Macaca mulatta: one gene and its partner. The protein of the gene in region 1 interacts with the protein of each later gene in a pairwise test. Links are inferred from orthologs where the notes say so. Each region holds a gene or a part of one and is shown on either strand. Other genes may lie near its edges.

Evidence for each region. The genes of interacting proteins can lie anywhere in the genome.
Region 2: the proteins of USHBP1 (region 1) and SERTAD3 interact in binary tests that used the Homo sapiens proteins (3 or more experiments, as listed by UniProt). The two-hybrid records come from large-scale screens. The link is inferred for Macaca mulatta from reciprocal best matches to the Homo sapiens genes USHBP1 and SERTAD3.

The regions. Positions count from the first base shown.
Region 1 is NC_133424.1:17,739,118-17,741,401, forward strand, and holds part of USHBP1 (harmonin-binding protein USHBP1), read right to left. Parts: intron 2,231-2,284; coding exon 2,009-2,230; intron 387-2,008; coding exon 280-386; intron 92-279; coding exon 1-91.
Region 2 is NC_133424.1:51,551,264-51,555,359, forward strand, and holds the start of SERTAD3 (SERTA domain-containing protein 3), read right to left. Parts: upstream 2,801-4,096; 5' UTR 2,755-2,800; intron 1,622-2,754; exon of another isoform or gene 1,303-1,621; intron 804-1,302; exon of another isoform or gene 535-803; intron 299-534; coding exon of another isoform or gene 293-298; coding exon 1-292.

The sequences.
Region 1 (2,284 bases):
GGCACTCTGAGACCGTCTGGCTCGCCCCTTCTGAGCCACCCGTTCCAGCTCCCTGCGCAGAGACTGCAGCTGCTCCCGCAGGTCCAGCGTCCTGTTGCGAAGGGGAAGAGGAGGGCTCACAGCCCTAGCCCATCCTATTTCCCACGTCTCCTCCTACCCACCTGCCCACAGTATTGTCATGTAAACACACCTGTACACAGGGGTACACCTTAGCTTCTGCTGCAGACAGCCCCCCCGGGGGCTGTCACATAGGCTGCCCATCCCCACCCAGCCACACACCTGGTGAGCGATGCTGCCAGTTCCTGGGCTAACTTCTCTGGGTCCCAGGCCCTGCCCACCTGGCCACCATCAATGCCACTGGTGCCACCAGGGACAGCAGGAAGGCCCTAAGGGAGAGAGAAGACAACAAAGTGACATTAACCTGGGCCAAGTCCGTGCTTGGCCCTCACTGGACATTGAAGCTGCCCAGACAGTGGCAGCTGCTGTGCTCTCAGAGACCCCCGTCTGGTTCCATACCCCAATAAGAGCGAAATTACACTCTGATAAGGGAAATATCTTATTTAATTTAAAAAAAAAAATTTTTTTTTTTTTTTGAGACAGAGTCTCACTCTGCCACCCAGGCTGGGGTACAGTGGCACGATCTTGGCTGACAGCAACTTCTGCCTCCCAGGTTCAAGCGATTCTCCTGCCTCAGCCTTTCAAGTAGTTGGCATTACAGACATATGCCACCAGACCTGGCTACTGTTTGTATTTTTAGTAGAGACGGGGTTTCACTATGTTGGCCAGGCTGGTCTCGAACCTCATCTCTAAAAATAAAATTTAGGGGCCAGGTGTGGTAGCTCACGCCTGTAATCCCAGAACTTTGGGAGGCCGAGACGGGTGGATCACTTGAAGTCAGGAGTTCAAGACCAGCCTGGCCAACATGGTGAAACTCTGTCTCTACTAAATATACAAAAATTAGCTTGGCATGGTGGCAGACCCCTGTAATCCCAGCTACTCAGGAGGCTAAGACAGGAGAATCGCTTGAACTTGGGAGGCGGAGGTTGCAGTGAGCCGAGATTGTGCCACTGCACTCCAGCCTGGGCAACAGAGCAACACTCCGTCTCTAAATAAATAAATAAATAAATAAACATTTGGGCACGGTGGCAGACGCCTTTAATCCCGGCTACTTGGGAGGCTGAGGCAGAAGAATTGCTTGAATCCGGGAGGCGGAGGCTGCAGTGAGCTAAGACTGTACTATCGCACTCCAGCCTGGGCGACAAGAGCAAAACTCTATCTCAAAAACTAAATAAATAAAGAGAGATGAGGTCTCGCTCTGTGGCCCAGGCTGGAGTGAAATGACGTAATTGTGGCTCGCTGAAGCCTCCAACTCCTGGGTTCAAGTGATTCTCCCACCTCAGCCTCCCCAGTAGCTGGGACCACCCTGCCTGGGTAACCTGATAAGGGAAATAAATAACAGGAAACCTCATCTGAAGTCACTCCAGGAGGGTTTCCTTGAGGAGGTGATGTCTAAGCTGAGATCTACAGGAGGTCAAGGACTTTATGACACAAAGAGGGAAGTTCCTGGCAGGGACACAGAATGTACAAAGGCTTGGAGGTGGGAGAGATGATTCAAAGAGCTGCATTAAGGACAGGCGCAGCGACTCATGCCTGTAATCTCAGCACTTTGGGAGGCGGAGGCAGGCGAAACATTTGAGGCCAGGAGTTCGAGACCAGCCTGGCCAACATGGTGAAACTGCATCTCTACAAAACATACAAAAATTAGCTAGATGTGGTGGTGTGTGTCTGTAATGCCAGCTACTCAGGAGGCTGAGACAGGAGAATCACTTGAACCTGGGAGGCGTAGGTTGCGGTGAGCAGAGATAGCAACATTGCATTCCAGCCTAGGCAACAAGAGCAAACCTCCGTCTCAAAAAAAAAAAAAAAAAAAAGGGGGTCTGTGATTGACAAGGGCTATGTTCTCATTAGTAAGCTACTACCCCTACCAGGTTCAGGCAGGGCGGCTCACCTGATACCACTCTTCCTCGTCCCCACTGCTGCCACCTCCGCTGCTATGTCCACCACTGCTGTTTGCCCCACCAGTCCGGAGCTCCGCCCGTTCCCACCGCAGCTGCTCCAGCAGGAGCACGTGAGCTGGACCCAGAGCTCGGAGGGCAGCCTCCCGCAGCTCTAGGCCCCGCTTCTCACGCCTCACCAGCTGCAGCCGAAGCATCAGGTCCGTCAGGGCCTCCTGCGGGACCAAGGAGAGGGGAGAGAATTTCTGCTTCTACGGTCAACTGCAGGG
Region 2 (4,096 bases), about 34 Mb from region 1:
TAGAGCCAATGGTGGCTGACAAGGAGAAATCCTCCTCGCCCAGGAAGAGGGGCTCGGGGGGCAGGGCAGGGGCTGGAGCCAGGCGAAGTGCAGCCTGCAGCTGCTGGAGGGTGTTATGGATGAGGACATGCCTGCGGAGGCTGGGTGCTCGGGGGCCCAGGCTGCGCTGGACTTTGTCTAGGGAGATGCGGAGCAGGGCTTGCTGGTAGCTCTGAAGGCCTGCTGGACTCCACTCCCACCTCTCCTCCTCCTCTTCCAAATCAGAGTGTTTCCTCTTCAAGCCTCCCACCATGATGCCCTGTAGAGAGAAGAGGGGCATAGGGGCATGTCAGACACCAGACACCGTAGTGCTGGCTCAAATCCCACTTTTTCAGGCCTATTGAGTTGTTGGTGATTTTTAATCATCTGAATCTCGGTTTACTCATCTATAAAATGAAGGCTGTCTGAATCCTACAAGGTTAAGGAGGTGAATACATATGTGATTAAGAAAATAAGATCTGGACTTAAGTACAGCTAGATTTAAATCCCACTTACTTGCCTATTGTGGCCTCAAACAGTGAATTTACATCCATGAGAATCAATTTCCTCATCTGCCAAATACGGATCCTAACAAGTTCCTCTGAGCCTTAAAACTGTTCTTCCACAATATTAATTTCTTCAAACATGGAGCACGAAAGACAGGTGTGGAGCAGAGAGACCTGGATTGGAAGTAGGGAACCCCAAATTTGATTTCTGTACTGGAAACTGCTCAGCTGCGTGATCGTGGGAAGTGACCTGAGTCAATTCTCAGGCCTCAGTTTCCTCATCTGTAAAATGGGGACTGTAAAAAAAATACTTCTCACCACCTCTGTCTAAGGAGATGCCACGTATCTATAGGGCCCACCACACAGGAAGTGCTTAATGAACCAGAGTTGTGTTTTGTTTTTTTTTTTTTTTTTTTTTGAGACGGAGTCTCGCTCTGTCGCCCAGGCTGGAGTGCAGTGGCCGCATCTCAGCTCACTGCAAGCTCCACCTCCCGGGTCTACGCCATTCTCCTGCCTCAGCCTCCCGAGTAGCTGGGACTACAGGTGCCCGCCACCTCACCCGGCTAGTTTTTTGTATTTTTTAGTAGAGACGGGGTTTCACCGTATTAGCCAGGCTGGTCTCGATCTCCTGACCTTGTGATCCGCCCGTCTCGGCCTCCCAAAGTGCTGGGATTACAGGCTTGAGCCACCGCGCCCGGCCGTGTTTGTTTTTTTTTGTTAGAGACAGGGTCTCGCTCTGTCGCCCGGGGCTGAGTGCAGCAGCGCTACCATAGCTCACCGAAGTCTCGAAGTCCCGGGCTCAAGCGATCCTCCCGCCTCAGCTCCTGAGTAGCTGATTACTCCTGAGTAGGGATTACTACCACACCCGGCCTCGATCAAGAGTTAATTGCCAGTTATACGCTCAACAGATTTACTGAGTGCCTACTATATTCGAACTTCCTGGGTCCCTGCTGGGGCACCTATGTTAAGATTCTTCTTTCACAGTCAGGATATTTCCATGTCCTCTTCCTTAACCAACTGGGAGCGCTCCCAAGAGTAGGAAAGGGGCCTCATTCCCTCTGCCCGCGCTTTCAGATTCCCCCAAAGCGCGCCCCACAGGAAAACTTGCTAGAACTCAGCTCAGACCAAGCCCCGCCCCCTAGGGGGGTCCCGCCCAATCAGACCTCGGCACTGCAAGGCCCCGCCCCTCCATGGGTCTTTAGAGAGCATCCAGGAACGCCCCAATTTGTCCCAGGGGCTTCTGGGAAACGGGGGCCAACAGCCGCCAGGTACACGAACCGACGTCGAGCACGCACTACAATCCCCAGAGGGCTCCGCCCGTCCAGGGGACGAGCCCCCCTCCCCCGACCCCGCTCTCCCTCAGGGCATGCGCACAGTGGCACAAGCGAGTGGGGGAAGGGAACCCGGACGTCCAGCTGCCGGCGCCCACCGAGCCCCGCCCTCCGTTGCCTCCGGGGCGGCGAGTCTGAGCTCCATGCCCGGAACACCCCTCCCCCACCCCTGACTCCGGCTCTAAATCTGCTTTCTCCCTGTCCCTCCGTGCCTTGAAAGTCCGGGATTCTCCTCCCAAACTGCCCTTGGATCCAGAGACCCAGATCCGAACACTTCGCTCAAAGACGACAATGCTGCGATCTAGTTCGCGAGACTACGTATCCTAATTTTGATACTTCCTCCCACTTCCCCTATTCTCCTGACTTTCAAACGCCCCTGGACTACACCTCTAAACTCGCTGCCCGGCTCCAAGACCCGAACATTGAACTCTTCCCGGCATCCTCCCTTCCCCCGCCAGTGCGTCTTGGAGTCCAAGAATCCTTGACCCTAGCTCTCTCGCTTCTCCAAATACTCAGGATCTCAGCCCCAAACCTCTCACACCTTTTCCAGAACACGATAAAGCCCCGAATTCAACCCGTCCGGAAGACCCAAGTGGAATCGAATCTCCAGGTTCCCTGTCTCAAAAGTTCCTTCCCTCTGTTCTCTCGCTTCTCCAAACGCCCCACGCCCCACGTCCCAGCTTCAAACTCCCTCCACTTGAAAATACTGCCCCAACAACCTCGCATCCCCTCCTGGGTCTCGAACTCAGTCTCGGGCCCCCAGACCCTCCCTATCATCACCCTGAATCTGAGGCCCCCTCCCCCGGTCTCACCCAGACCCCGCCTCCGCAAGTCTCCGGGGCGCGCCTCTCCCTCCTCCAGCCTAAGGTAAATTCCCAAGCCAGGCGACCACTCCTCACCCCAGCTGCCAGGTTTGCCACGACCACCTCCTGGAACGCCCACAGCGTCGCGACCCGCCAGTGCCGGGACCCACCAGTGACCGGCCGGGGCCTCGCTCACCTCGGCAGGGCCTCTCCGTCTGGCTTCGGGCCCACCCAGCCCCGCCCCGGAGCCGAGCCGCGAGCCGCGATTGGCTGGAGTCCCGCCCGCCGCGGGGCGTCGATTGGCTGGGCGGAGCCATCCACCCTTGCCCGGAGACGCCGGACCCGCCCACCCCTCCCTAGCGCCCCGGGCCATTTAAAGGAGTGCAACTGGCAGGGGGCGGGGCAGCGCCTCCAGGGGTGGAGGGCGGCTGGTCCAAGAGAACCGCTTCCTTCCACTGGGCTACGGTCCTCGCTCCAAGATCGTCACCACTACTCCCTGCAGTCCCTTTTTGCCAGGCCTGGACCCCACCGCGGAGCCAGAGGGGCTGGCATACCCTCTGGCTCCGGGAGGTCCAGGCAGGCGGGGCCGAACAACCGGAGGAGGCCGCGCCCCCGGGGTTCCGAGGGCGGACGCCGGGGCGGGGGATGACGTACCGAAAGACCAGCCAATGGTGTGACGCGGCCCGCGTTGCCTAGGCGATCGCAGCCCCGCCCCCTTGCTGCGCTTCTCCCGCCCCCCGTACGTTACCCCGCGGCCCCTTCTTAATCCTCGAGTTTTCTCAACGCGTCCTCTGGTGGTCCTACCTGGGTCTCCTGACACCTCTCTTCTTCCCCGCTCCAACAAGATGACTCCTCCGCTGCTGTTCATGGCTTCCTACCCCTCCTCCCCGAAGACAAACTTCAAACCCCTTCCTTTTGCCACAAAGCCCCTCACGACCTTGCCTGATGCGCTCTCCTGGTTCTCTCCGATCCTGCCCCATTGAGTCACTTCCAGTTTTTCTAAAATGGCTTCAAGCTCCCATTCCCCCCATCACGAAAACGAAAGGATTTTGTCTGTTTGTTTTCTTCCCTGCCTTACCCCAGTGTCTACAATGCCAGGTACATAAGTTCTCAAACATGACAATAAAAGGCCTCTGGATCTTTATTATTTATTATTATTATTATTATTATTTTTTTTTTTTTTGAGACGGAATCTTGCTCTGTCACCCAGGCTGGAGTGCAGTGGTGCAACCTCGGCTCACTGCAAGCTCCGCCTTCCGGGTTCACGCCATTCTCCTGCCTCAGCCTCCCGAGTAGCTGGGACTACAGGCGCCCGCCACCACGCCCGCCTATTTTTTTTGTATTTTTAGTAGAGATGGGGTTTCACCGTGTTAGCCAGGATGGTCTCGATCTCCTAACCTCGTGATCCGCCCACCTCGGCCTCCCAAAGTGCTGGGAT